3 linked regions of the Stegostoma tigrinum genome follow. The protein of the gene in region 3 interacts with the protein of the main gene of each other region in a pairwise test. Links are inferred from orthologs where the notes say so. Each region holds a gene or a part of one and is shown on either strand. Other genes may lie near its edges. The genes, in order: sestd1, ralbp1 and gps2.

Region 1 (10,374 bases), on a different chromosome or scaffold from region 3:
TAAATCCCCTAGGGTCTGATAATATACATTTCAGAGTACTTAAGGAAATGTCCCTAGAAATAAAGGATGCATTTGTGGTTATCTTTCAAGATGTTATAGACTTTGAAAGAGTTCTTATGGATTAGAATGTAGCTAGAGCAATCCCACTATTTAGAAAAAAAGAAGCTAGAGAGAAAATATGCAATTATAGACCAATTAATGTGACATTAATTGTGGGGCGAGAGTCCGTTATAAAATATTTAATAGCAAGCACTTGGAAAATAATGACATGATCATGTTAATGTTAACTGTAAATGTTAATTAACTTCTTGCATCTGTCTTTACCAAGATAGTACCCAGACCATGGAGATAGAAGAGGAAAATCCATCACAGTATGGGTTTAAGATTGATGCTGTATTGGATGAGTTGTTGATACTTATTTACAAGACAATTGTACCAGTTTAGATCCATCAAAGGGCATTGAAGGAAGTGGAAGTGTAAATTGCAGAGTCACATACAATCTTTCAATCATCCCTGTACGTAGGATTGGCAGTAGAGGACTGGAGAACTTGTAAATGTTATATTCTTATTCAATCAAGAATGTAAGGATAAAATCATCAATTACTGGCCAATTTGTTTAACTTTAGTTGTGAGGAAAAATCTAGAAACAATAATCCACGATGGAGTTATAGTCACAAGGGAAAGTTGGATTAATTAAGAGGAGCCACAATGGATTGTTTATTGAAGATGTAACCAAGATGATAGATGAGGGTAGAATGGTAGACGTTGTCTACGTGGACTTTAGCAAGGCCTTTAACAAGGTTCTGCATGGCAGCCTGGTTAGTAAAGTTAGATCACATTGGATGCAGGGAGAGCTAGCCAATTGAATAGACTGTAGGAGGCAGAGGATGGTGGTGGTGGGGTGTTTTTTGGAGGCCTGTAACCAGTGGTGTTCTGCAGTCATTGGTGCTAGGTCCACTGTTTGTCCTTCACATAAACGATTTGGATGAGAATATAGCAAGCATGTTTAGTAAGTTTGCAGATGACACCAAAATTGGTGGTATAATGGACAGTGAAGATGATTTTCCAAGAGTACAGTGGGATCTTGATCAGTTGGCTAATGAGCCGAGGAGTGGCAGGTGGAGTTTAATTGAGATAAATGTGAGGTGTTGCATTTTGGTAAGACAAAACAGGGCAGGGTGAACACATTTAATGGTGGCTCTGGTTAGTATTTTGAACAGAAAGACCCAGGGTTCAGGTGCATAGTTCTTTGAAAGTGATATTACAGGTAAACAAGGTTTACCTTGCTTTAAAAGACATCGGGACAGGTGCATGACCAGGCCAAGCTCAAAGGGATATGGGCCAAACATAGGCAAATGGGACTAGTTTAGTTTGGGAAAACTGGTTGGCATGGACAAGTTGGACTGAAGGGTCTGTTTTTGAGGTCCATGACTCTATTTCTTTCGTGAAAATTACATTTAACTAACTTTATGGAATTGTTTAAGGACGTAAGAGCATGTATTAATGCAGGTAATGTTGTTGATGCAGTTGTACATGGTCTTCCAAATAATGTTCAAACTGTTGTGCAACATTGTTCTGAGAAAGATTATAGCTCATGGAAAAGAAATAACAGTTTCAATGTGGATGCAAAATTCCTTGTGTGACAGGAAATAGAAAGTAGTAGCTGATGAATATTTTTCAGGTTGGATGATGTTTTGGGCTGGATGATGTTTTGGGTCTCTTGCTTTATTATGATCAACACCAAGGCTATTTCCTAACTCTTCCGAATTTCCCTTTCTCTAGGTGAAATTATTTCTTACATCCAATTTCAACTGAGCCTTCTGTGAATTAAACGAAAAAAATTGCAAGCCATGAATGCTTTCCAAATGCAAACAAAAAATTAATTCTGTATCTTCTAACTTAAAGCTGGCTAATGCTTATCATGTTTGTTCTGTGTGCTCATAAAGCTCCCTGTGTCAACAAGTTCCTATTAGCACTGCAGGAACCATCTCTCAAGTTGGTTTTAAAAAGTGTTCCAGAAATACTGACCAGTTAATCATTATCCCCCCTCAAATGCACAGACATCAGCCCACATTCCATTAGGTTAAACTCCAAACTCTAAGATAAATGACATCAAAATAGATAAAAATCACAAACTTTGTATCACACTTATTTATATGAATAATCAAGATCTTGGAGCACAGGAGACAATTTCAAAGTTTGCAGGTGATACGCAAATTAAAGTTGGAAGGTTTGCAACCTGTGAGGAGGATCATGAACATAACATGAACATACAAGTAATGAGCAGGAATAGGCCATTCAGTCCCTCAACTCTCCACTACAATTTCTAGGTCCTGGTTCTAAATACCACCATAAAAGGAAACATCTTCTTCACATCCAACCCATCAAATCCCCTCAAGATCTTATATGTTTCACTCAAGTTGCTTCTTGCTTTTCTAAACACCAGTGAATATAAGCCTAGTCAGTTTAACATGTCCTCATAATGCAGCCTGTCCCATTCAAGGCATTATCCAGAAAACCTATTATCCGCTTCCAAAAAATTTACATCCTTCATTAATAAGGTGACCAATACTGGGAACTGTACTTCAAAACTTTAAAACAACATTGAAATATTCATAATAATACAGTGTGGAGCTGGAGGAACACAGCAGGCCAGGCAGCAAGAGAGGAGCAGAAAAGCTGATGTTTCAGGTCGGGACCCCACTTCAGAAATAGGGGAGATGAAGGAGCTCTGAAATAAATAGAGAGGAGGGGCATTGATAGCAGGTAGGTAGTTGGGGGGATTGGTCAGTGAGGTAGGAAGAGTGGATAGGTGGGAGAGAAGATGTACAGGTCAATGAGGCAGGGATGGGGGCATGGCTGGTCTTGGGATGAGGTCAGGGTTGGGGAGATTTTGAAGCGAGTAAAGTTCACATTGAGACCATTGGGTTGTAGGCTTCCTGTTTGCGGGTGGCATCATGGTGACACTGGAGGAGGCCCAGGATGGACATGTCGTCAAGGGAGTGGTAGGGGTAGTTGAAGTGGTTTGCGACTGGGAGGTGTTGTTGTTTGTCACGAATCAAGAGTAGGTGGTCTAGAAAACGGTATCCGAACCTCCACTTGGTCTCACCAATGTAGAGGAGGCCACATCAGGAACAGCGGATATAATAGACCACATTAGAAGATGTGCAGATGAACATCTCTTTTACGTGGAAGGTTTTCTTGGGGCCTGGGACGGAGTTGAGGGGCACGTGTAGGGGCAGGTGTAGCACCTCCTGTGGTTGCAGGGAAAATGTGTCTGGGGTGTTGGGCCTAATGGGAGGTGTGGAGTGGACGAGGAAGTCGTGGAGAAGGCGGTCCCTCCAGAAGGAAGATAAGGGTGGGGAGGGAAATATATCCTCAGTAATGGGATCAGATTGCAGGTGGCCGATATGGTGGAAAATGATGACTGTTGAATCCAGAAGTTGATGGGATGATATGTGAGGACAAGGGGAATTCTGTCTTTGTTGTTATTGTGGGGGCGGGGGTGTGAGGGCTGGGGTGCGGGAAACGCAAGAGATGTGGTCGAGGGCATTTCCAACCACTATGGGGGGGGGATGTTGAGGTCCTTGAAATACGAGGACATCTGGGATGTTCGGAAGTGGAATGGCTCATCTTGGGAGCAGATTCGGCAGAGGTGAAGGAATTAGGAATAGGAGATGGCATTCTTGCAGGAAGGTCGGTGAGATGAGGTGTAGCCTAGGTAGTTGTGGGAATCAGTGTCCTTGAAACAGATATCAGTTTCGAGGTCAATTGTATCTGCTGTTCCTGATGTGGCCTTGTCTACATCAGTGAGACCAAGCAGAGGCTCAGATATCGTTTTATAGAGCACCTACACTTGGCTCATGACAAATGACAACACCTCCCAGTCGTGAACCCCTTCAACTCCCCCTCCCACACCCTGGACGACATGTCCATCCTGGGCCTCCTCCAGTGTCACAACAATGACACCCGTAAACTGGAAGCCTACAACACAATGGTCTCAATGTGGCGTTACTAGCTTCAAAATCTCCCCAGCCCCCTCATCCCCACCCCCTTGAACTGTCTGTCTTCTCTCCACCTATCCACTCCTCCCACCTCACTGACCAATCCCCACCACTATCACCCTGCTATCACCAATCCTCCTCTCTATTTATTTCAGAGCCTGCTTCGCCTCCCCTATTTCTGAATAAGTGTCCCTACCACAAACATCAGCTTTCCTGCTCCTCTGATGCTGTGCGCTCTGTTGTGTTCCTGCAGCTCCACACTCTGTTAACATCTGCAGTTCTTACTGTCTTTCATTGAAATATTCATAGAGTGGGCAGATAGGTTGCAGATGAAGTTTGATGTGAAGATGTACGAGGTGAGATATTTTGGGAGAACAAACACAGATACTGTATAAACTAAAAGGGACTACCCTAGATGGTGGGCAGAGAGACTCCAGTGTATGAGTGCATAAGAATTAAAGGTGGCAGAGCAGGTGGTCAGAATAGCTAATAAAGCACACAGTATCTTTGGCTTTACTAACAGTGGTTTCCTGTACAACAGCACATGGGTTACACTAAATCTGTGTATGATACCAGTTAGATGTCTGCTGAAGTATTGTTCCAGTTCTGGAAGCCACATTTTAGGAAGATCTGGAAGCATTGGTGACAGATCTCAAGTGGTTTGCAAGAAGTGGTTCCAGGGAGAGAAACTTCAATTATGAAAATAGAAGTTGGGACTGTTTTTCTTGGAGAGGAGAAGGCAGAAAAGAGATTTGTTTCAAGTTTTCAAAATCACGATAAGTTTGGACAGAGTAGAAGCAGATAAGCTATACCCAGTGGTGAAAGAATAAAGAATGAGAAAGCGCAAATGTTAGGAAATTCGATGTGAAAAGTTTCTTCTCAAACAGCAACTGTCCGTGTGGGGTTTGCACGTTCTCCCAGTGTCTGCGTGGTATTCCTCCCACAATCCGAAAATGAACAGATTAGGTGGGTTAGCTGTGGTTAATGCCGGGTTACGGGGATGGGGTGGAGGGAAGGTGGGTCTTGGATGGGACACTCTTGGGAGGTTCGTTGTGCACTCGTTGGCCGAATGGCCTGCTTCCGTACGGTAGGGATTCTTTGTGCTACCTAAGTGTACCCGGAAGACAGGTTCCATTGAGGCATTGAGGAGGTCATGAGATGAATATTTAAATAAAATGATGTGAAAGGGTACAGTCAAAGGACAGGATAATGGCATTTAGTCATGCTCCTCATTTGGAGAGCTATTGCAGACACTATGGGAAGACTTCTGCACGGTTATTCTGCAATTCTTGAAACATCCGAGGGAAACAACTTGCAGGATTGTGGGGATAGAGCAGGAGAATGGGACTGACTATTGTTTTTCAGAGGCGACATTGACCACCGTGTTTCTAATGGGCTCTTCCTTTGTTTTAATGACTCAATGACTTGGACAAAATATTGCAGGGCAGCTTGGAAATTATACTTCAGTATATTTAGAGTAGAAAAAGGTGAAACATTTCTCCTTTATTGATATTAAACAGTTTTCTACGAAATATTCCTAAAAAATCAAACATTTTCAACAGTGAATTGACAAACTGTAATAAAATTTCGTCTATATTGCTATTTTTTCTAGAATAAAACACTTTGAGAGAGATCTTATATCATGTTCACTGAGCATTTACACTATGATCGATGATATGCACCGCAAAAATGATGAATGGTTAGTTGATCCCTTGGTCAGTAACGCGGTTTAAAAGCTGATTTCTAAAAGCTCTCTAAAATTTATCGGGCAATATCAGCTCTAGTACCTTGGGCTGACAACCATATTTTAAAGGAGAAGAAAGAATTTTGATAAAATATCGCAAAGCCGTGAAAACTGAATGTATTTGATATACTTCTGCTCAATCTCAGATTTAAATCTCCATGTTGTTGTGACATTTCGATGAGGTTAATTTCCAGTTGTTCATTGATCTCATTAGAAGGTGCTGCACTGCTTTTTTTGGCGGGGGGGAGGGTTGGAAGGAGTGCTGGTGGTGTGGGGATGTTGAGCTTTGTAGTGCAAGTGGGATCTCCGTTTGTGCGTGCACGATTTATTTCGTAGCAGACGTGAATATGTGAGACGCGCTGGTGGGAGCTGTGAGGCATCTCTGCTTGACATGCCTCGTACGGCGAGGGTGCCGCTACCGTTCTGTGTGAGCCGCCGCTGCTGCTGAGATCGGTCTCTCCTTGGGAAGAGGAAGTCGGCGGCTGGGAGGGAAGGAAGGAGCAGTGGGCAGCTCGCGTCCTCAGGTGAGCGGGGGCTCGTGCTGCCTCACCTGTGCGCGTGGCTGAGGCTGAGTGGGGGTGCAGGGCGGGCTGTCTCCCTGGGCAACAAAAGGAGTTATGTCTGCCCCGGGCAGCTGAATCTGTGTGAACGGTTCATCCTGGACGACCATCGGTACTGGAGCTGGAAACCTCGTCTTTCTTTCTTTCTGTGTGTGTGAGAGAGACCAAAAATCACGATTGCGGCGGCTTACTGGGCTGAAGGCTTTGAGCGGACTGGGGGGAAAGGTAGGCCCGAGGTGGGGTGGACCGAGCTTTGTTCAGTGGCAGCGCCCACTACCAGGTCGCTGTTCCTTCCCAATCTGATTTATTTTATTAGAAATAACTTATCGGGTTTTTTTTTGGTTTGTTATTTTCTTTGTTTTTTATCTTTAAAAAATAACTTGCAATCTGCGTTTCCCACTGCACTTTTTTTTTGGTTCCAAAGCGCTGCCCCGTAGAGTGTGTACCGTTCGTTGCACTCCAGCCATTTTCAAAAAAAAGACGGGCTGAGTACTTCCTGTGGGTTGGGAAAGAAGCGCAAATAATTAACGGTATATGCTACTCTTGAAGCACTCCTGCTGCAGCCCTCCGCTTAAAGATGAAAGCAGCGGTAGAAAGTAGATCATTTCGCAAGATGGGCTGATGTGGTTTGAAAGCTTTTTGTTGTCAGCTGGATGCCTGATGTGTAAACCCTCCACGACGCTTGAAGGACTAATCCGAGTAATCTACATAGGTGATCTCCATCGTGGAACGTGAGTGTTGTGGTTCTGCCAAAAAAGGGGCTTCCTAGGATGAAACAGGTCACCGTTGTCAAAATTCAAAGATATGCAGTTTGCAAATACTTACTAGGATGGTGATGAGATTCAACCCACTGAAGGTACACTGGTTATCATCATGGAATGTAATGTTTTGCACTGCTTAGTCAGCTACATGTTGGAGTAGTAGTTTACAGGGTTGTTTGGAACTGTGAGAACACAATCCTGTGCTGATCCCACTCCTGCCCCACTCAAGCCTTATTCTTTCATTGTTCCAGTCAATTACCTGATTTATCTGCTTAGTTACAAATGGTACACGAGATGCTTTAGTCACACAGACTTGGGCGTTGTCTTAGTTCATTCGGTCAGATTACTGGTCTGAGTCAGAAAGCTACAGGTTCAGGATTTACTCTATGGAATTTTGCAAATAATTTAATCTTGCATTTAAATATAGTGGAAAGGTATGTTAATAGGGGATCTTCAGGCTGTTGCATTAATTGAGGCATTTGCCAGTTTTATACAGAAGGTGGTGATGGAGGGTTGTTTTTCCATCTGGAGGCCTGTGACAGCAGTGTTCCCCATTACTGGGTCTAGTTTTGTTTGTCATTTATATAAACGGTCTGAATTCAAATTTAGGGAGCATGATTAGTAAGTTGTGATGACACCAAAACTGGTATAGTTGACAGTAAAGAAGATTATCAAAGACTACAAAGGGATCTTGATTGACCCAATGAGCTGAGCAGTGGCAGATGGAGATTAATTTGGATGAATGCAAGGTATGGCATTTTGATTAAATAAACAAGGGCAGGACTTCTGCAATTAATGGTAGGGCCCTAGGTCATATTCTAGAACAGAGACCTAGGGGTTCAGGTATATAGTTCTTTGAAAGCTGCATCAGGGGTAAATACAGTTAAGGTACAGTAGTTAAGGTACTCTGCAAGGTTACCTTCATTGCTTAGATCATAGGAGTTGCGATGTCATGTTGATGTTATAAAGGACTTTGAGGCCAGTTTTGGAGTAGTGTTTACAGGTCTGATTGTCCTGCTTATAGAAAGAATGTTATTAAATTGAACATAGTTCAGAAAAATTTACCAGGTTGTTTTCAGGATTGGAGAGTTTGAGTTACAAGAAGAGGCCGGATAGGCTAGGACTTTTTTCACTAGCATGTCATAGGTTAAGCAGTGACTTTGTAGATGTTTATAAAATCATGATAAGGTGAATAGCAAAGGCCTTTTCCCTAAGGTGGGGCATTCAAAACTAGGAAGCAAATTTTAAGGTGAGAGCAGTATGATTTAAAACGGACCTGAGGGGCAACTTTTTCCACATGGAGAGTGGTTTGTTGGTGGAATGAACTACCAGAGGAAGTGTTACAGTTCCTGTATTTAAAAGACATTTAGATAGATACATCACTAGGAAGGGTTTACAGGGATATGAGTCAAATGCAGGCAAGTGGGACTAGTTTACGTTCGGGAATCATGGTCAGCGTGGGCTTGTTAGACCAAAGGGTCTGTTGCCATGCTGTTTGACTCTATGATGTACTAGAGCGTTTGATACAATTTGAGGAGCAGGGACTTGTTGGCAATATTTCTTCTGTAAAGGCTAAAAGTCTATGTGGTTAGCCCATGTGAGATGTAGCTCAGTGATTAATTTTCTCATTTCTGAATCCAATTTAAGTGAGTTCAAATTCCACTTAAGATGCATGTAACCTAGGCTGACATTTCTGTGCAGTATAGGGGAAATGTTGATCTGCCAGTTAAGAAATTTAAAGGACTTAGATGGTCCAACAATTGAGATATAGGATCTCATTACTTATTTCATTGCAGCATTGTGGGAGCCTGCATGTGTAAATTAGCTGCTGTTTACCACGTTGAAATAGCAACTGTTTAATTTGGTATAAAATACTTTTGGACATTGAGGTTGAGGGTGTAATGTAAACATCAGTCATTTCCCTATTCTCTCTTGTTCCTGGGTAATCTTTGTTTTGGGACAGTCTCTCCTGAAATTCAGTTATTCTTTCAAATTGAAAATTTTGTTTTTTTTCAAGTTTCATTTTCTTTTGAGCTTAGCAGCAACAAACAAGTCGTAATAAAGTCTGAGTATAATGCAATTAACTGACACATAGGTCACAGGAATAATGTTTTGAAACAAAAACAAGCTTTATCGCTTATAAGAATTAAATCAAGTGCTAGTAGCATAATGCTGTAGTTTATGATAGCGCTATGAATTTTACTTTTATTTTACTATACCTGCTAAACAATTCCTTTCCTATTACAAGAATCTTGAAGGTTGAACCACATTTTGAGGGGCCAGCTTAAAGGTGTGACAGTGGACTCTGGAATTCACTACATATTCATTTAGGCTCACTGCTGATTGCTTTATGCCACATGGCTCTTTGAGAACCATTGTAGAAGTTTTCCTCAAGCTGCAAGCTAGTTAGATCATCCATCGTTTCCTTCAAAAATACAAACAGTTTAAGTTCTACCCACATTCTACTTGTTGAGCAATAAAGATCATACTTATCCTGCATAAAGCCTGATGTAGGTTACACCGAAGCAAAACGTCAACAGCCAATCTTTCGAGTAAACACCCAGATTAAATTAAGCAAAAGACTGTTTGACCCAATAGCCTAAGCCTATTTCTATGTGGCATTCATTGGGTAGTCATTAAATTGACATGTAAAAATTACCTTCAACACAGTTCATTTGATTCTGTTAAAAAGTGCAGAGAGGTTTTAGAATCTCCACACCTATCCAGGAGCTCCCCTGTTGATCATCTTTCCCAACTTTTCATTTTGGTAACTGCTTAATTTAAAACTTTTGAGGTAAGTGGAGACCTTCAGGTCTACCTGAAACCCAGTGTTTGGTGTTAGTATTAGAAATGCGGATCCATTTGAGGGTCAACCAGAACAACTTGAGTTGATTGAGAGTAGATGATGCACATTGAACTTCATAGCTCCATGTGCATCCCCCTGAAGCTCAGAATTCTATCAGAGGATGGCCCCTAGAGGACCACCAACAGTCTAGGATATATGACATAGCTGCACTGTCCTGCTCGACTGGATTTAAGACAATTTGATAAACAAGGATGATGTTGGGATGACCATCTCCAAGATTTAAGATGCATCCAAGTCGGGCATTGCTTGTGACAATCTCCTGTAATTTTTGGAAAAATAAAAAGCAGGGTTCCTGAAATAGGTGATTATTTGTGGTGACTTAATTTTTTGAAGAACGAGCTAAGTTCAACAATTTTTATTTATATAAAAATTAAGGGTGGGTTCTTCCCTACGTACGAGTTGGGTTCAGGGCAGGTAAAGGAATTGTCTTTGTGCTAAA
Region 2 (9,961 bases), on a different chromosome or scaffold from region 3:
TGTTAGGCTACCCAACCTCTGGGCTAAGCATCATCCTCAACACTTTCAGATCCTAATCTCTACTCCCCCTTTTTTTTGGATGGCCATGCTGATGATGATTTCCTTTGTCCCATTCATACCTCCTGAGAACACATATTTTAATCTGTTTTCTCCTCCCATTACCATGCTCCTTTGCTTTGCATCTTCACTCTACTTTTCATTCCAGTTCTGAGGAAGGGTCACCCGACCCAAAACGTTAACTCTTTTTCTTCCACAGATGCTGCCACACCTGCTGAGCTTTTCTTGCAACTTTGTTTTTGTTCCTAATGATTGTGTTTTTCTCAGACTACCTTTGCTTCTTTCTCTAATTACTTTATACTTATACTTTGTTCTCTATCCTTTCATCAGTGAGATTATCTTCTCCCTATTTACTCTGTTCAGACTGCTCATGATTGTGAATAGTTCAGATCAGATTTCCTCTCTGCTTTCTCTTCTCCAAGGAGATCAGTCCCAGATTCTATATTTCTAATTTCATAACTGAAAGCACTGTAAATCTCCAATGCACTCTCTCCAATACCCTCACATCACCCACCTAACGTGTGGCTCCCAGAACTGGAAGCAACATTCCACCTCAGGCCAATCTAATGCCCTGTATAGTTGTTCGACAAAATGTTCTTACTCTTTACTCCATAACATTAACTCTGCTTCACTCTCCTCGAATGTCATCTGACCTGCTGGCTATTTCTGACATTTTCATTATTTATTTCATATTTACAGCATCAAAATTGTTTTAAAATTCCAATCCTGTTCTCCCTTGCCATCTCCAGAAACAATGAAGTTGATTTCTGCAGTGGAAATCCTACATATCAATTGCATTTTCAGTGTGGTGGTCAGAAAGAACTTTCTTCCTGGAAAATGATGATGGACCTTGTCAGAACCTAGCCCCAGCTTTTCAGCAGGGCACACTGTGTGGTGGGATTGTCTTATGAGCAAAGGTTAAACAAGGTTGGGACTCATTGACATTTAGAAGAATGAGAGATTCTCATTGAGAAATGTCGGGTTCTTAAGGATCTAGACTGGGTAAATATTGAAAGGATGTTTCCTCTCATGGGAGTGCCTAGGTCCAGAGGGCATTGACTTAAGAATAACTTGACTTAAGAATGCGGTGCCAATTTAAGACTGAGATGAGGAGGAATTCCTTCTCTCAGAAGGTTGAGAGTCTTTGGAATTCCTTGCTACAGCAAGCTGTGGGGGCAGACTCCTTGTGTATAGTTAAAGCTGAGGCAGATAGATTCTTGATCAGTAGGAGAATCAAGGGTTAAAAGGGAAAGGCATGAAAATGAACGTGAGGAATGTTGGATCAGCCATGATCCTACTGAATGGAGGAGCAAGCTTGAGGGGCTGAGTGTTCTACTTCTTATGGTCTTATAGAGTTTTTACTGTTTCCTTTTGTATGTCATTTGCACTGAGGATAATTGGATCATTCCAGCTGAGATCAGCTGCTGGGTTGTGTGGTAAAAAATTGGTGCTTTTATTGACTAGATCTGGAGATGATAGTTTTTTAAAACAAAGGCTTCTTGTTCTATTTTGACACAAATACTTATTTCAATGGGCGCTCTGATTCTTCTGTGAAATTATCCAGTCCCTCAGTAATTTTTTGACAAAGCATATTTTCCTCATACTACCCTTCCTTGGCATTGGGTATGGTCATTGCAGTGGGAAGTAAGGAGGTGAATATTTTGATCTTTCCTTCCATGATACACTGCAGCAGAATGTGCAGTTTACTGTTTCCACATTGCAGTCCCTTTCCACACTGCTGATTCCTTCCATGAAATTTAAATCGTTTCCTACCCATTTTAAAGATTCCACTGCTGTGGGTGTAAATGTTTTCCCCAGTGACTTGCTAGCTGACGCCCAAGAAGAGATGAAACTCAGTTACAAATCAGGAAACCATTTCTTATCGAATTTCTTTTCATTTTCTTCATTCTCTCGATGACCAAACACTTTGTTCATGACTGTGAAAGGACATGAAATGTGTTGAAATTAGATGCAGTTTCTTCTTTCGCTTTGAAGCATTAAGATGGCCATGATTAGAGTCTTTCCTCTGATTATCTGAAGTGAATTTCATCATGATTTGGACAGATTACAGAGATGTAGCTGCAGGGAATTCTCTTTTTTTGTTTATTTATTTTGTGGGATGTGGGCATCGCTGACTGGCTAGCATTTCTTACCCATCCCTAGGTGCCCCTTAAGAAGGTGGTGGTGAGCTGTCTTCTTGAAACACTGCAGTCCACCTGCTGTTGGTTGATCACAATGCTATTAGGGAGGGAATTCCAGGATTTTGACCCAACAACGGTGAAGCAACGGCGATATATTTCCAAATCAAGGTGCTGAGTGGCTTGGAGGGGAACTTGGCAGTGTTCCAATATGTCTGCTGCCCTTGTCCTTCTAGATGGAAGTGGTCATGTGTTTGGAAAGTGCTGTCAAAGGATCTTTGATAAATGTGTAGTGTTTCTTGCAGATTGTACACACTGCTGCTACTGAGCATTGGTGGAGGAGGGAGTGAATGCTTGTGTTTCACATCCAAGTGGTCTGCTTTGTCCAGGATGCTGTCAAACTTCTTGAGTGTTCTGGAGCTGCACTCATCCAGGAAAGCGTGGAGTATTCCATCACAGTCCTGACTCGTGCCTTGTAGATGGTGGGCAGGCTTTGGGGAGTTAGGAGGTGAGTTACTCACTGCAGTATTCCTAGCCTCTGACCTGCTCTTGTAGCCACTGTATTTATGTGATGAGTCCAGCTGAGTTTCTGGGCAATGGTAATGCCCTGGATGTTGACAGTGGAGGTTTCAGTGATGGCAAAACCATTCAATGCCAAGGGGCGATGGTTAGATTGTCTCTTATTGGTAATTGTCATAGCCTGGCATTTTTGTGGCACAAATATTACTTGCCACTTGTCAGCCCAAACCTGGATCTGGTCCGGATCTTGTTGCATTTGAACATGGACCGCTTCAGTGTCTGAGGAGTTGCGAATGGTGCTGAACATTGTGCAATCATCGGTGAACATCCCCACATTGGACCTTACGCTGTAGGGAAGGCCATTGATGAAGCAGCTGAAGATGGTCTGGCCTAGGACACTACCCTGAGGAACTCCTGCAGAGATGTCCTGGAGCTGAGATGACTGACCCCCAACAACCATGACCATCTTCCTATGTGTAATGTATGACTCTAACTGTCCCCCGGTACTCACTGACTCCAGTTTTGCTAGGGCTCCTCGATGCCACACTCAGTCGAATGAAGCCTTGATGTCAACGGCTGACACTCCTATGTCACCTCTGGAAGTCCGCTCTTTTGCTCATGTTTGAACCAAAGCTGTAATGAGGTCAAAATGCGAGTGGTCCTGGTAGAATCCAAACTGGGCGTCACTGAGCAGGTTATTGCTGAGCAGGTGCTGCTTGATTGCACTGTTGATGACACATTCCATCACTTTACTGATGATTGACAATAGACTGCTGGGGCAGGAATTGACTGGGTTGGATTTGTCCTGCTTTACACGTACAAGACATACCTGGACAATTATTTACATTGCCGGGTAGATGCCAGTGTTGTAACTGTACTGGAACAGCTTGGCTAGGGGTGCAACAAGTTCTGAAGGACAAGTCTTCAGTACCATTGCTGGAATGTTGTAAGGGTCTGTAGTGTCTAGTATCCAGTGCCTCCAACTGTTTCTTGATATCATGTGGAGTGATTCCAATTGACTGAAGACTGGTATCTGTAATGCTGGGGATGACAGGACAAGGCTGAGAAAAATCATCTACTTAGCACATTTGACTAAAGACTACTCTGAAAGCTTCAGCTGTATCTTTGGCACTGATGGGATTGGCTCTTCCATCATTGAAGATGGGGATATTTGGAGAGCCTCCTCCTCTAGTGAGTTGTTTAATTGTCTACCACCATTCACGACTGGATGTAGCAGGACTGCAGAGCTTAGATCTGATCCATTAGTCGTGGGATCGCTTAGCTCTGTCTACCACATATTGTTTATGCTGTTTGGCATGCATGCAGTCCTGTTTGGTGGTTTCACCAGATTGACACATCATGTTCAGGTATGCCTGGTATGCCCTCCAGCACTCTTCATTGAACCAGGGTTGATCACCTTGCTTGATGGTAATGGTTATGTGGGGGATATGCTGGGCCATGAGGTTACAGATTGTTCTGGAGTAAAATTCTGCTGCTGTTGACGGCCCACAGTGCCTCTATTCTTGAGTTGCTAGATCTGTTTGAAGTCTGTCCCATTTAGCAGTGAAAGTTCCACACAACAGAGAGGTTACTCTCAATTTGAAGGCTGGACTTCATCTCCACAAGTGGTTACTCTTACCGATACTGTTATGGAAAAATGTATCTGAAGCTGGCAGATTGGTAAGGATGAGGTCAAGTGCATTTGTCCTTCTTGTTAGTTTTCTCACCACCTGCTGCAGAGCCAGTCTAGCAGCTATGTCCTTTAGGACCCAGCCAGCAGTGTTGCTGCTACTGAGTCAATCTTGGTGGTAGACATTGAAATCCCCCACCCAGAGTATATCTTGTGCCCTTGCCATCCTCTAAGTGTTGTTCAACATGAAGGAGTACCAATTCAATCAGCTGAGGGAGGACAGTAGGTGGTAATCAGTATGAGGTTTCCTTGCCTGTATTTAACTTGAAGCCATGTGACTTCATGGGATCTAGAGTAAAACTCCCTCCCAACTGTATACCACTGCGCTGGGTCTGTCCTGCCAGTAAGACACGACATATCCAGGGATGGTGATATCTGGTACATTATAAGGTATTATTCTGTGAGTATGACTATGTCAAGCTGTTACTTAACTAGTCTGTGAGACAACTCTACCAATTTTGGCACCAATCCCCAGATGTTAGTGAGGAGGACTTTGCAGGGTCGACATGGCTGTTTCTGCTGTTGTCTTTTCTGTAACCTAGGTCGATGCCAGGTGATCCATCTGGTTTCATTTCTTTGAGACTTTGGAGTGATTGGTACAACTGAATGGCTTACCAGGATATTTCAAAGGGTAACTGAAAGCCAACCACATTGCTGTGGGTCTGAAGTCATATGTAGGCCTGATCAGGTGAGGATGGCAGATTTCCTTCCCTGAAAGGAAAGGAAACGTTCACACCTAGTGAACCAGGTGTGCTTTTTTGACAGTTGACAATGATTTTTAATCAGTAGATTCTTAACTCCAGGTTTTTTTAAAAATTGAATTTAAATTCCACTCTCTGTCATGGTTTCAAAGTGGGTCCACAAAACATTATCCGGGTCTCTGGATTTATTATCTAGCAATAATACCACTAAGCCATCACCTTCGCTTGGATAGGAACTGAACGAGGTGCAACACACAAACTGCTTGCCCTTCCTCTCCTTTTCCCTTCCTCTCCCCTCCCTCTGATGAAGGGTCTAGGCCCGAAACATCAGCTTTCCTGCTCCTCTGATGCTGCTTGGCCTGCTGTGTTCATCCAGCTCCACACCTTGTTCTCTCTAAAACTGCTTGCTTGGACGTTTTGATACATCGAAATGATAACTGTGGGAGGCTGAACACCTCTCTCCCACGCGTTCTGAGGAAAGGTCACCGGACCCGAAACGTTAACTCTGATTTTCTCCTCAAGATGCTGTTAGACCTGCTGAGCTTTTCCAGCAAATTCTGGTTTTTTTTCGTCCCAGGATCCAGTCGAGAAAGGTCACGTGACCGAAGGCTGCAAGACGCTTCGATCTCTGCGCCTGCGCAGCGACGCCCGAGCCGGAGTCCGCACACTGACGCCTGCGCACAGTGGCCCAGCCGGAGCCCGCACGATGACGCCTGCGCAGCGACGCCCGAGCCGGAGCTCGCACGCTGGCGCCTGCGCACAGTGGCCCAGCCGGAGCCCGCACACTGACGCCTGCGCAGCGACGCCCGAGCCGGAGCTCGCACGCTGGCGCTTGCGCAGCGACGCCCGAGCCGGAACTCGCACGCTGGCGCCTGCGCAGCGACGCCGAGCCCTGTGGGCCCCTCCTCTCCCGTCCAGCAGCTGCAGGGCCGCGGCCGGTGGCGGCTTGGTATGTCGCCAAGGATCAGAGCTGCGATTCCTGGATCGGGGCTGCTCTAAGATGAGGTAAAGGTGCAGGATTTATCCTTCATGGAGGCCGGTATTTTTTTCAAATATTGAAGTCCAGAGGTGATGTGAACGGAAGGAGCGAAGACCGTAGATTAGGCCTCGCTGGCATCACCGGCCTTGATTTGGAAAGAAGGCCGTGGCCGGGAGGGAGCAGAAGACCTTGTTGATATAGGATGACTTACCCCGCGGCGATCTTACCCGTACTCCCTTCCCCCAACCCTAGGAGAGGGGCATCCCGATCCCATACAGTTCCCCGGAGCGCTAGCGATACTACTCTGTGGTCCGGGGCGCATTTGTTCCCCTCCCTAGCACCGTGTTATTAATTTCCAGATTAAAACCCCTTCCTATAGAGTCCTCCACCTTATAGCACTCACTATGGCTATCAGCTGCAATCTGGATCCTTTTCTTTACATTTGATGTAACCTTTCCTCCTTCTATCTTCCACCCTAGATACTAAACCAGACTGTTTTAAAGTGGACGGGGGAGAGAAGAGTTTAAATGCACGGTTTTTTTTAACAAATAACCGAACAGAATCCTTGCTATTTACTTCATTTGCACACTGCTGCCGGCTGTTTCACTCGTCTATTTACTTCATAAGTAAAAAGCCAGTTACTCGAAACAGTGTTTTGCAGTTGTGTGTGATGCATGGGGCTGATTTGGGATTCTTGTGATCTGTTTTTCACGCTGCAAATGTAGCTGAAAAATATCTCGTCTTTCCACAGCAGTAAAGAATGAATGACTGACTTGGGGAGGAATGCATTGTTGGTAGAAAAAGAGCCTATTTGACAGTTTCACCGAATATGTAGTGAATTTACTGAAATGTCGCTTCTGACTATTACTGCTGCAGTTCGGTATTGTCAAGTTGGAGTTTGGGGTTAGGATCTTGCAGTCTGTTGAGAGAGTGCCTTGAAATTTATCGTGTTTGGGATCTGAGATGGTATTAGTGCAGTTACTGTTTTGTTGTGTCTCATTAATTGCTAAAAATGAAATGAGTGGCTAAAACAATGGCAGAGTGAGCTCAATCCTAACTAGTTTCACTTAAGATGAGCCTCGACCAGTCTCTGAATGATTTTTGAATTATGTTTTGCTAATGTCCTCAGCACTTCAGGATTTGTTACTTTTTCTATTCAACTAATCTTTTCCAATCACCTTGATTTTTAATGATATATGAAATATGCTTTAGACAAAAATTGTTCTTGTGTGTGATGTTATGATGTGTGTATCAGGCACTATTTTGGAATCTGCTGTGCTAAAGCACTTTAATATTATCACAAGCTGCTACCAGTTGGTTCCTCTGAAGAGTTTGATTCACTTGAATGTTAAGTCTGCTTTGTCACATCGATACTGTCAGACCTGCTGAGTTTCAGTTTTTGTACCATAGATTCCTAACCTGACTGATTTCTGAAACAAACAGAAAATGTCAGAGAAACTCAGCAGGTCTGACAGCATTTGTTGAGAGAGAAACAGAGCTACCATTTTGAACTGGTATGCCATCCGTTATGGCTAATTTTTGATCTTGATTGGTAGAGTGAGCTACATCCCTTTACTCTCTGGTCTGCCCTTTCTAAAACCACCACCTCATTTCTATGCTTCCCCACTGTTAGGTCTTCCAAAACCAAGCCAATTTATAAGAGTACACAGTGATACTCAGCCATGTAAACCTCTCTCCATTGTCTGTAAATTGTCATTGCTTATCTAAGATCCAATATTGGATGAGCAGGAATATTTTTCAATTACTTGGCGAGAAGATTTAAGTCCAGGAGACGGATGTACTTGTGGCCCTAACTGTTCACAATATGTATCATTGATCTGGAGATGTGGACCAAATGTGATATTTCTAAATTTTCAGAGGATACAAAGTTACGTGGGAATATATGTTATGAGGAAGATGTAAAACAGCTTCAGGAGGACTTGCACAGTGAATGGTCAAGAACATGGCAAATGAAAGATAATGTGGAAAAATATGAAGTTATCCAGTTTGGTAGGGAAACCAGCTGTGCAGAATTTAAAAGGTAAGTATTTGGAAAGTGTGGATGTAGAAAGGCTCACCAGATTTGTTCCCAGGATTGTGGAACTGTCCTGTGAAGGGAAATTGAGAAACAGCCTGTATTCTCTAATTTCAAAAAGGGAGATTTGAAATTTGAAATTTGTAACATAGCTAAAGGGATAAACAGTGTCAGTGCACTAAGATGTTTCCCTGGCTGGAGAATCCAGAGTCAGATGGCAGAATTTAAAAAAAAAAGGGGATGCCACTTAGATCCAAGATGAAATTTTTTTAAACTCAATGTTGTTGAATTACAGCAGTACATACTGTTGCCATTGTGTGTCAGTGATGAAAGGATTGAGTATTGAAGATGTTGAATCTGGTGCCATTTGAACAGAATGCTGTCTGAGAATCAAGGATTCTAACTCTTGCTTTCAAATCTATCCATAGCTTGGTCTGTCTTCCTATCTAATCCTATCTAATCTTTCTGTCCTAAAACCTAACTGTACTTTGTTTTAATTAAATCACTTGAACATTGGTGGCTGGGCTTCATCTCCCTAGATTTTAAGTTCTGGAATTCCCATTCCAAACTTGTTTGGCTCTCTACCTTATTTTCTTTTTAAACCTGTGTGTTTGACCAAGCCTTTGGCTATTTGCCTTAATAGCTCCCTGCATGGCTTAAGTGTCACAGTTTGTTTTAGAATGTCTATTGGATGCATGTTGAGATGTTTTATTCAGTGAAAGATGCTATGTAAATTCACTTTAACAAAAAGTTCCTGGAATGGGGCATTTTTGGATAGGTCAGCATTTATTGCCTAGGAACTGACTGGCTTGCTGGACCAATTTAGAGGGTAGTTAAGAGTCAATCATATTGCTGTGGGTCTCGAGTCATACGTTGGTTAGATTAGGAACAAAAACAGAAGTTGCTGGAAAAGCTCAGCAGGCCTGGCAGCATCTGTGAAGAAAAAGTCAGAGTTAACATTTGAGTGTTTTCTTCATAAATGCTGCTGAGCTTTTCCAGCAACTGCTGTTTTTGTTCCTGATTTACAGCATCCGCAGTTCTCTTGGATTTATTTTTTGGTTAGCACAGGAGAATTTATTCCCTAAAGAGCATTATTGGATCAGATAGGCTTTTACAACGGTCACCATTGGCTACGTGATTGCAGTTAGGCTAACTTTTTTTAATTCCCAGAGTTTGGCTGAACTCTCATTTCACTATCCTCCATTATATAGAACATAGAACAGTACAGCACAGAACAGGCCCTTCAGCCCACGATGTTGTGCCGACCATTGATCCTCATGTATGCACCCTCAAATTTCTGTGACCATATGCATGTCCAGCAGTCTCTTAAATGACCCCAATGACCTTGCTTCCACAACTGCTGCTGGCAACGCATTCCATGCTCTCACAACTCTCTGTAAAGAACCCGCCTCTGACATCCCCTCTATACTTTCCTCCATCCAGCTTAAAACTATGACCCCTCGTGTTAGCCATTTCTGCCCTGGGAAATAGTCTCTGGCTATCAACTCTATCTATGCCTCTCATTATCTTGTATACCTCAATTAGGTCCCCTCTCCTCCTCCTTTTCTCCAATGAAAAGAGACCGAGCTCAGTCAACCTCTCTTCATAAGATAAGCCCTCCAGTCCAGGCAGCATCCTGGTAAACCTCCTCTGAACCCTCTCCAAAGCATCCACATCTTTCCTATAATAGGGCGACCAGAACTGGACGCAGTATTCCAAGTGCGGTCTAACCAAAGTTTTATAGAGCTGCAACAAGATCTCACGACTCTTAAACTCAATGCCCCTGTTAATGAAAGCCAAAACACCATATGCTTTCTTAACAACCCTGTCCACTTGGGTGGC
Region 3 (10,621 bases):
CTCTTGATCCACAGACATTGTTTGATTTTGCCTATTATCCCCCAACAATATTCCCGAAAAACTGTTTGCATTGTCCTTGCCGTTTATCAATGTGTGTGTTTGGATTTCAAGGGCTTCAGCTTAAATTTGCACATTAGTAATTAATAATCTGTTTTTGTCACACATGAGAGAATAAGCTTAGTATAATAAATACGTTTTTGGTTTCTCATTCATTGCTAAAACCTGGTGTGAGCTACTTTTCTCTTAGACAGTGATCACAATCAGATATTAACCATCCTAGAGATTAAATTGGTAATCCTAAAACTTGTGGAATACAGGCACTTAATTTCCAGTGATCTCTTTCCATCAAGGTTGACACACTGAAAGAATCAAAAGGCAGAGTATTCATAGAATCCCTACAGTGTGGAAGTAGACCATTCAGCCCATCGGGTCCACACCAACCCTCCAAGAGCACCCAGACCCTCGTTCCTATCCCTACAGACCTGCATTTCCCATGGCTAATCCACTCAGCACATCCGTGGACACTGTGGGAAATTTAGCATTGTCAATACACTAAACCTGCACATCTTTGGACTGTGGGAGGAAACCGGAACACCCAGAGGAAACGCGTACTGAAAAGGGTAGAATGCACAAACTCAGTACAGACAGTCACCCAAGGGTGGAAGCAAACCCAGGTCCCTGCTGCTGTGAAGACAGCAGTACTAGTCAACGAGCCACCATGCCGTGCTGCTCAACAGAAAATAACTTTAGAACTCTGGATAGGTAGCTATATCTTGGTATTTTAGTCCAGAAGTCACAAGACTTTAGTATCTAGGTACAACATGTAACCGATAAAGCTAATGGAATGCTATGCTTTATTACCAGGGAAATTCAATATAAAAGTTTGAATGTTATGCTTCTGTTAAACAGGGCATAGGTGAGACCACATCTCAAATACTACATTCAGTTTTGGTCTCCTTATTTAAGGAAGGATTAAATGCATTGGAGACTGTTCAGTGGAGATTTACTCTTGAGAGCTGGACCAAGTTGTTTTACGAGGATTGGTTAGATGGGCCAGTCTTGCTTCCACTGGAGTTTAGCAGAGTGAGGAGTGACTTGATTGAAAGATATAAGATACTAAATGGTTTTGACAAAGAGAACATGGAAAAGATGTCTCCTCTTGTGATTAGGGGCCACTGTTTTAGGACTGTTTTACACTTAAAGAAAAGTAAGTTCATATTTGACAGTCAACATGACTTTGCCAATAGCAGGTCATGTCTGACAAATTTAATTGAGTTCCTTAACAAGGTGATCCAGGCAGCAGATGAAGGCAGTGCTGTGGATGTTGTATATTTGGACATTAGAAAGTATTCGATATGGTGCCACATGCCAGGATGGTTAGCAAATTAGAAATGTTTGGTATTGATGGAATCTTGCAGCATGGATTAGAATTTAGCTAAAAGGTAGGAGCAAGAGGGTAAAGTGGGCATATTGCAGATTGGAGACAAGTTGAAAGTGATGTATCTCAGGCATCAGTGTTGGGACCCTTGCCTTTTCTGATTTAAAAGAACAATTTGGAGATAGGTGTTGAGGGAAAAATCTCTAAATTTGCACATGATACTAACTGAGGTAGAATAGTGAATTAGAGGATGACATTGAGCGGCTTCGCAGAGATATTGGCAAGTTTTCCAAATATGCAATACCTGAATTTCAATGCAGAGTAATGCAAGATAGTGCACTTTGACAGAGGAGACAGGGTGAGACAGTATGGGCTCAAAGGTACAACTTTGAAGGGAATACAGGAGCAGCGGGACCTCGGGGTTCACATGTATAATTCTCTGAAGATGGCCAGACAAGTTGGAGCAGTTGTTACTAAGGCTTATAGGAGTCTTGACTTTATAAAAAGAAGTATAGCATAGAAAAGGAAGGAACTGATGCTACACCTCTACAAATCATTGATCAGACCAAATTAAGAGGACTGTGCTTAGTCCTGGCACTTTATTTAAGGAAGGACATTAAAGGTCTGGAAAGAGTGCAAAGGAGATTTGCTAGAATGATACCAGGAATTAGGAATTTTAGATACAAGATAAGATTAGAGAAATCTGGCTTATGCTACATGGAGCAGAGAAGATTAAGATATGACCTTATTGAAGTGTTAAAATTTATGAATAATTTTGACAGAATAAAGAAGCATATTCTGTTTCCACTGGTTGGTATGTCAGTAACAACAATTTCAAAATTGTCAGCAAGGTGGCTTGGAGTGAGATGAGGAGAAAATCTTTATTCAGTGTTGTTAGGATTTAGAATGAGCTGCCTGGAAGAGTGGTGGAGGTGGAGATGGAGAGCTCTGGAGAATGAAACTAGCTGGGTAGATCTCTCAGGGATGGATAGACCAACTAGTGGGGGACATAGGTGGAGCTAGAGAGTTATGAAGCTTGGCAAAGCAGGTGGAGCAACACGCAGAATGGGAGTGGATAGGAGGAACAGACAGAACAATGGCAAGGTCAACAGGCAGAGGGAGGGCACCGGCAAGGCAGAGGGGGAGGGCACCAGAAAAGAGTGAGAGTTATCCAGTTTATGCCTTAACTGACTTATGGGTAGCATAGGATTGAAGATTCCCTGGATTGATTAATAGGCTGTGGGCAAGGTCCTGCGAGGAATGATTGAGTGAGTTGCACCCACATTCTTTGCAGATGATCTCAACCTGATCCCTTGGATACTGAAATTATTCTACGTGTATAATTTGAACAGACAGATCCAATATATTTGAGTTTAGAAGAATGAGCAGAGATCTAATTAAAATGGATAAAATTCTTCGAGAAGGAAGAATGCTCCCCAGCCAGGGGAGAAACACAAAAACATGGAGAAAGAGTCTTTGAATAATTAGTCGTCATCTCCCAGATTGGCATAAAGGTCGATATGAGCCAAATGGCTTCCCCTGTGTTCCTTTGTCCAACGGTCTCGAGCACTTTTGTCCCAGAGGCCTGCAAAATTCTTGTGCACTCCCCTTCTGGAAAGCCCAGTTGGATCTGCTTAAGCTGCCCTTTCAGGCATCTACCAGATCATAACAATAACAACACAGCATTCTGATATAACAACAGCACATATCCCAGGGAGCCAGTGACAGCATGACACATGCAGATTTTTCTGTTGAGCATTTTGCCAGATTGTCCCGCCCTGATCTACCTGCCAGACATTGTGTGAGCACACTCACACTTCCTTCCCAGCACTTCTACCTTGTCGTTTCCGTGCTCTCTCCTTCATGATGTGCTGGTGAAGAGCTCGCGCCATCGCGCTCGACATCTTGGGTCGTTCCAGTAGGGCGGGCATCGTCTCTGTTTCAGAAGGATCCAGACACTAGAACCTAAAACAGGTGAGAAAAAGCCATAAATCAGCTTTGTGTGAGGTACAGAATCGCAAGAGTAAATCTGGAAAACCTACAGTCACCACACTGTTTCCCAAGACCACCCGGTGTAGCACAGCTAACTAGAACTCCTAAAAGTTCCCCTCTGAAACACTTGACTTGGACCTACAGTGCTGTTTCCTCACAGCAACTGGGTCACACTTCCCACTTTCCCTTAACAGCACTGTCCCTATACTTCAGGGACTGCAGCAGTTTAAGGTGGCGTCTCACCACCACGGCAAATAGGGATGACCAGTAAATGCTGGCTCGGCTAGTGAAGCCCACACTTTACACAGAACGTACCACAAACAAATAACTCCGGATCAACCAGTCAATACCATTCTGTTTCGCTTGAAACCCAGAATGAGCCACAGCCAGAGCCATACTGGATTAGACCCCAGGAGGACAAGAGGCCAGGCTTCCCACAGATTGCATTCTCTTTCAAAACACGCTGGCTACACATAGGGTGCTGTGCTCTCCCCAAATCTCCCTGTTCTTCCCGGATTCTCAAGAACTGTGCCCCATTCCCTCCACTCTCATCGGTATGTCCTCCCTTCTCCATTTCCCTCTCACTGTTCTACCCAACCACTTCCACAAACACCCCTCCCACCTACCCTTCTCCTCTCTCCACGGGTCTTTTCCTTGATCTCCCCCACATCCCGCAGCTCCAGGTCCCCATCACCCTCACCCTGTTCTTCCCCTCACCATTCCCTGTTTCCAGGCCCCGGGCCGCTTTCCTCCTTTTCTCTCTCTCTTCTCTCTCTTTTCACTCCACCAACGCCATCACACTCCGCCCGCCCACCGTCAGATCCGCCCCGCAGCCGTAAAGCGAGACGGACGCTGAGAAGCGGGCGACGGCCTTGGCGCGCGACGGGATCGTAAAGCGGAGCCGCCGGTTTCCAGCGCGGAGGGGCGGTCAAATCAAACGGCGCTGCCGTCGTAAAGCGGATTTCGATACAGCTGCCCCGCAGCCGTCAAGCGGGTTAGTCTCCCCGGCCCTGTTACTCCTTTAGGACCCGGTTGAGAAGGCTGTCGTGGAGCAGGAGCGGGCTGAGGAGGGGGCGGTAAGCCCCTCTCTCCGCTCTCGGAATGGCGGCCGAGTTCCACCTGAGGACCGGCAAGTTGGTGGCGTTGCTGAACGGCAACCGCACGGCCAAGCGTAACAAGCCGACCGAGGAGTTCAACCACGGGCTGGCGATGAGCCGAGAGCCGCTGGGGGACGGGCAGCTCTTCCAGGTCCGGATCGACAGGAAGGTGAGTCCAGGGGGAGATGTAGATGTTTGTAACTCCACCCCCACCCTCACCCCCACCCCCACCCTCACCCTCACCCCCACCCTCACCCCCACCCCCACCCCCACCCCCACCCCCACCCTCACCCTCACCCCCACCCCCACCCTCACCCCCACCCCCACCCTCACCCCCACCCCCACCCCCACCCCCACCCCCACCCTCACCCTCACCCTCACCCCCACCCTCACCCTCACCCCCACCCTCATACCCAGGGGTAAGCTCAGTAAGAAACACCGGTGATTGAGGCCTACACCAGAAGGTGCACGGGAAGGGGAATCTCAGCAGGTAAAAAGGGGGAACACACCCCCCCCCCCAGCTTTAACATCGCTATAGCAGGTTTTGTGATTTTATTTTCTTAAATCATATTTAATCATAATTGCGACACCCCCCCCAAAAAAAAACATCGTGGATATCGCTAGAGGATTAAATGTAATGAGTGGAACTTGGTCCAGCAGAAAAAAGCTGGAGCTTGTCCCAATTTGCAGCAGAGAGGACCCTAAGCACCCCCTCTTCCCCCCCCCCCCCCCGGGCTGGTATTTGTCTGTCGGCTCGACGTGGCTTGTCAAGTAGCCCCCTGCCGTCCCCAGTTTTAAAAATTCAAAATCCCTCTCTGGTCATTTTGTAAAGGTTCCTCCCCAGCATGCCCTTGGACACCATCTCGAGGGTTCCCCCCCAGCCCCCAAGTGAAGGCAGCCCAATGTGATGGACAGTGCCAACTCCTGGCAAGGGCCAGGTGCAGAGGCGCCAGGGAATGGAACATTGGTAGAAGGTCCCGGAAGGGCGCAAAAGACTGGGCAGTGCTAGTGTAGAGAAGGAAACCAAGGTGATGCTTTGGTTCACTGGCCTGGTGCCACAGCTTTGTCAGTGGGACTGCACCATCTGGTTTCGAGGGCCCTTGTGTGCTCCATGTGATGGTTTGCACCAGATGTCAGCCATCAAATACTCTCAGAACAGGTACAGCACAGGGTTAGTTACAGGGTACTTGACTGTGTCTCCACTAAGCCCTCCCAAGACAAGGGTGACGTATGATTAGATACAAAGTGTTGCCTCTATGTTCTTCCAATCCAACACTCCCAGGGGAGGAACAGCACATGATTTCTCTAGTCTTTCAGACTGAAAATAAATAGAAAGTAAAGCTTGCTCAACATTGACCCTAACAAACATGTCTAGGATGGGGGCATCACAGGGTTACATAATGAGTGAGGCTGTCTGTACACTGTCCACATCAAACATTCCCAGCACAGGGCTAGATACAGAATATACTTCTACACTTTTAAACTGAAAGTAAAGCCCCCTCAACAACGTCTGCTTAAAACACCACAAGAAGAGATAAAGCAGGCGTTTTGGTGCAGAGTAAAGATCACAGTGGTTCAGTGGTTAGCACTGCTGTCTTCACAGTGCCAGGGACCTGGGTTCACTTTCACCTTCAGGCAACCTTGTGTATAGAATTTGCACATTCTCCCCATGTCTGCTTGAGTTTCCTCCCACAAAAATGAGCAGATTACGTGGATTGGCCATGCTAAATTGGACATAATGTCCAGAGACGTGCAGGCTAGGTGGATTAGACATGGGAAATGCAGGGTTAAGGCAGGAGGGTGGGTCTAGATGGGATGGTCTTCAGAGGGCCGCTGTTGGTGTGACAGGCCAAATGGCCTGCTTCCATGCTGTAGGGATTCTATGGTAAACTGAAATCAGAGCATCCTCTACGGTTTTAAAACTGAAACTAACACTTCCTCTACACTTAAAACTGAAAGGCACCTCCATCTGTGTCAAACGCTCCCGGGGCAGGAACAACAGAGGGTTAAGTACAGAGTAAAGCCATCTCCACTCTTTGAACTAAAAGTAAACTTTAAGTAATGGTCCACTGATGCCATCCCCATCAAACACTCTGGAACTGTGGCAGCACAGGGTTAAATGCAGAATAAACTCCTTCATTTTCAGTTATGAGTGGTGTACCACAAGGATCTGTTCTGGGTCCCCTTCTGTTTTTGACTTTTGTAAATGAACTGGGTGTAGGAGTGGAAGAGTGAATTAGTAAGTTTGCAGACGACATGAAGGTGGGTCAAATTGTAGATAGAACAGCCCTCCGCACTATGTTACAAAGGCACATTGATAGGATGCAGAGCTGAGCTGAGAAGTGGCAGATGGAGTTTAGCCCTGAAAAGTGTGAAATGGTTTATTTTGGAAGGACAAACTTGAAAATGGAACACAGGGTTAACGGAAAGATTCTTGGCAGCGTGGAGGAGCAGAGGGATCGTGGGGTTCATGTCCACGGTTCCATGAAAGCTGCCACCCAAGTGGATAGAGTTGTTAAGAAGGCATATGGTGTGTTAGCTTTCATTAATAGGGATTGAGTTCAAGAGCAGTGAAGTTATGCTCCAGTTATACAAAAACCTGGTTTGGCCACGTCTAGAATATTGTGTCCATTTCTGGTCACCTCATTACAGGAAAGATGTGGAAGCGTTGGAAAAGGTGCAGAGGAGATTTGCCAGGATGTTGCCTGGAATGGAGGGAAGGTCTTATGAGGAAAGGTTGAGAGAGCTAGGGCCTTTCTGTTTTTAGAACAACGAAGGATGAGAGGTGACTTGATAGAGGTGTACAAAATGATGAGAGGTATAGATAGTGTGGACAGCCTGAAACATTTTCCTCGGGTGGAGGTAGCTATTATGAGGGGAGCATAGTTATAAAGTGAATGGCGGTAGATATAGGGGAGACATCCGAGGTAGGTTCTTTACTCAGACAGTGGTTGGGCCATAGAATGCATTGCCGGAGAGGGTAGTGGAGTCAGCCTCAGCCTCATTAGGAGCATTTAAGCGGCAATTAGATAGACACATGGATGATAGTATAAGGTAGCAGTGGGAGTTAGATAGACCTTAGGTTTAGGGTAAAAGTTCAGCACAGCATGGGGAGCAGAAGGGCCTGTACAATGCTGTACTGTTCTATGTTCTATTTCTTTTATGAAAACTGGAAGTCCAAAATAATAATAATGAAACGCTTACTGCTGTGCATCGTATTGCAATTGAACATAAACTAACAGTCAAATGGAAACTTACAGAACCAAACAGAAATTACCCATGTCAAAATAATGTTGTAGACCCATAGAGCCATAAAGCATGGAAACAGATCCTTTCGTTCGACTTATGGGACCCCAATCTGGAGGGCTTACTCATTTGCCAGCATTTGGCCCACCTCCCTCTCAGCTCTTCCCATTCATATACCCATCAGATGCCTTTTAAATGTTGTAATTGTTCCAGTCTCCTCCACTTCCTCTGGCCGCACATTCCATACACACAGTACACTCTGTGTGAAAAAGTTGCCCCTTGGGTACCTTGTAAATCTTTCCTGTCTTGCCTTAAACCCTATCCCCTCTAATTTTGAACTCCCCTCCCGTTCGAAAAAGTTTGACTATTCACCGAATTCATGCCCCTCATGATTTGATAAACCCCTGTAAGATTGCACCTCAGCTGCCCTCACTCCAGTGAAAAATGCCCCAGCTCCCTCAACCTGTCCCTATGACTCAAGCCTCCCAGTCCCAGCAATGTCCTTGTAAATCTTTTCTGAACCTTTTCAAGTCTAACAACATCCTTCCAGTAGAAGTGCATCTAGAATTGTGTGCAAAATTCTAGAAGTGGCCTTACCAATGTCTGGTACAGCCACAACATGACATCCGAACCCCTATAGTCAATGCACTGACCAATGAAGGCAAGCATGCTAAATGCTGCCTTCACCACCCTGTCAGCCTGTGATTCAATGCTGCCCAGGCTTTGTGGTGCCCAATGGTCTCCAAAGAACTTTGCTGTATCTGTGAGCACTGCTCTGTCTTCAGCAACTCCCCAGCTCAAACATAATTGTGAAAGCGTGGCACCCCATCAGGAATGGGGGAAATCTTGGCCAGACCCAGCAGAAGGCCCACCAACTTGTCAGCCTGCACTAGGTGTCCGTAGATCAGGACCATGGGACTGAAGTGCAAGCAAAATTGAAGAAGCAACCCCTTCAAAAACCAAAAAGGAGTTGCAAACGGAAACATTCTACACCGATGTCAAGCACAAAAATTACGCGTCACCTGGCATCCAGTGGACTCACATCCTATGGTGTACCGGCCTGCCACATGCAGCACTCTCCACCCCGGATCCCCAGAGGAAAGGGGAAGGACCTCTTTGTAAATGGCCCTCCGCTGGGGATCTCTGCAGCTGGAGGGCAAAATAGTCTCGAAGCAACAGATGAAGGTGCAGAAGTGGAGAGTGCAACAGCAGCCAGTACAGGAAATACCTCTGTGCAGTGATTTCTGAAAGACAGCTCAGATTGTGAGGCACCACGTCATGGGGAAGGGTGGCTTGTGCAGGACTGATGTCGGGTTCCGAACGTACAGGAGTCAATTCAGCCGGGAGCCCGCTGCGCACACGCCTGAGCTGTCTGGGTCTTGCATAGGGCATCGGGGCTGAGCACGTTGTGCCTCAGGCTACGTATGGGTCAGGCTGTGAACCCTCTCGGCCAGCTGCAGCAGTGTCACTCAGCCCACTCCTCCTCCATCTAACACAGCCTTGACCCTGGTCAGCCCAGCATCCCAAGCCCTCCCCTACTTCAGCCAGCAGAGTTCACGCTGATGGAGGAACTCATTCCTGAGCAGTGGCTCCCTCACAATAGCTGCCACTCTTATAGGAGTGGCAATCCAACATGAGCTGACCATGTTCCAGATACAAGTCCAAGTAAAAGACAGGCAATTCTTGGGAGTAGATTCAAGAGCGAGACTATTCTGTGAACAGGAACTGCATGTCAGTATAGAGGCTGTGCACCTGACAGAAAAATGACATCATCAGGGCGCAACAACTTGGAGGGCCAATGTAAAGGTGTCACTGCAGAGTCTGAAGGCAAAAAGTCATTACCCAGGTGTGGAGGCACACCAGTGCCAGACCCCCATCTGAACTGCAGCAGGGACCTAGTGTTGCTTTTTGTCCCAGAAAAATGCTATGACCCTTTTGTGAATGGTTTGACAAAGCCAGGGGTTGGGACCAAAGTGAGCAGCCAGTACCATAATGTGGCAGCTCCCATCTGGTTTATGACCAGACCTCGTGCCCTGTAAAATGACTCTTCAAGTAGCCCTGTCTCGTGTCTTTGGTGAGTAATCACCTTGGCTATTTGTGCTAACTCACTGGCCAGGATTCCTCGGCAGGGCAAACGTGGCATTCCGGGTAGAGGAGGTGAGTGATACTCCACAAGAACCGCTGAAGCTGCTCCGGCAGGAAGTCCAACTGCCACAGATTCACCAGAAGTCCTGAACACTTACTCCACTTGATCCTCATGGAGGACGCCACAGAGTAGACCATCTGGCACTTGTGCCTCTTCCGTAAGTCAGCCGCTTCCACAAACGTGAGGAGCATGTCGTTGGCTTAAACTGAAAGGACCACCCCAGCTCCTTCACAGAACCTGAGACGACAGCCACCTCTGCAAGAGGCACTCGAATGACTCCACACAAGGAGAATGCAATTGTCCAGACAGGGAGGGTGACCCTGGTGCGCTCCCCTCCGGAAGTACACGGGTCCCATGAGGGACCTGGTTACCTTCCCTAGGTACTCCAGAGCAGTGTACAGAAGTTGAATCTGGGCGACAAAGTGTGTCCCAAACCCAAAAGCTCAAAGAGGCCCAAGTAGACACTTGTGATCCACTCTGTCAAATGCCTATCCCTGATCAAGGGAGAGAAAGGGCACTCAAGACCAGTCCTCTGGGAATGAAGGGTCACATCCCGGTTGGGTTGATGCTCTTGTGAATGCTCCAGCCTGGGACTGGTAAGTATGATATGGGTGGATTACGTGATCCAGCATGGTACTGAAGTGAGACAAAAGTGCCATGGCCAAGATTTTGTAGTCCAAGCTATGTAGGGAGACCAGACACCAGCTCTTCAATAAATGGAGATGCCCCTTTTTTAGACAATAGAGTTATGACAGCTCTCTG

Evidence for each region.
Region 1: the proteins of gps2 (region 3) and sestd1 interact in binary tests that used the Homo sapiens proteins (3 or more experiments, as listed by UniProt). The two-hybrid records come from large-scale screens. The link is inferred for Stegostoma tigrinum from reciprocal best matches to the Homo sapiens genes GPS2 and SESTD1.
Region 2: the proteins of gps2 (region 3) and ralbp1 interact in binary tests that used the Homo sapiens proteins (3 or more experiments, as listed by UniProt). The two-hybrid records come from large-scale screens. The link is inferred for Stegostoma tigrinum from reciprocal best matches to the Homo sapiens genes GPS2 and RALBP1.

The regions. Positions count from the first base shown.
Region 1 is NC_081360.1:43,777,865-43,788,238, forward strand, and holds the start of sestd1 (SEC14 domain and spectrin repeat-containing protein 1), read left to right. Parts: upstream 1-6,185; 5' UTR 6,186-6,272; intron 6,273-6,299; exon of another isoform or gene 6,300-6,420; intron 6,421-6,447; exon of another isoform or gene 6,448-6,533; intron 6,534-7,020; 5' UTR 7,021-7,039; exon of another isoform or gene 7,040-7,164; intron 7,165-10,374. UniProt on the Homo sapiens protein: May act as the primary docking protein directing membrane turnover and assembly of the transient receptor potential channels TRPC4 and TRPC5.
Region 2 is NC_081358.1:114,692,795-114,702,755, forward strand, and holds the start of ralbp1 (ralA-binding protein 1), read left to right. Parts: upstream 1-5,994; 5' UTR 5,995-6,110; intron 6,111-9,961. UniProt on the Homo sapiens protein: Multifunctional protein that functions as a downstream effector of RALA and RALB. As a GTPase-activating protein/GAP can inactivate CDC42 and RAC1 by stimulating their GTPase activity.
Region 3 is NC_081398.1:13,795,418-13,806,038, forward strand, and holds the start of gps2 (G protein pathway suppressor 2), read right to left. Parts: upstream 4,221-10,621; 5' UTR 4,088-4,220; exon of another isoform or gene 4,071-4,087; intron 3,344-4,070; 5' UTR 3,310-3,343; coding exon 3,216-3,309; intron 1-3,215. Other genes in the region: neurl4 (neuralized-like protein 4), read left to right, coding at 4,472-4,636. UniProt on the Homo sapiens protein: Key regulator of inflammation, lipid metabolism and mitochondrion homeostasis that acts by inhibiting the activity of the ubiquitin-conjugating enzyme UBE2N/Ubc13, thereby inhibiting 'Lys-63'-linked ubiquitination.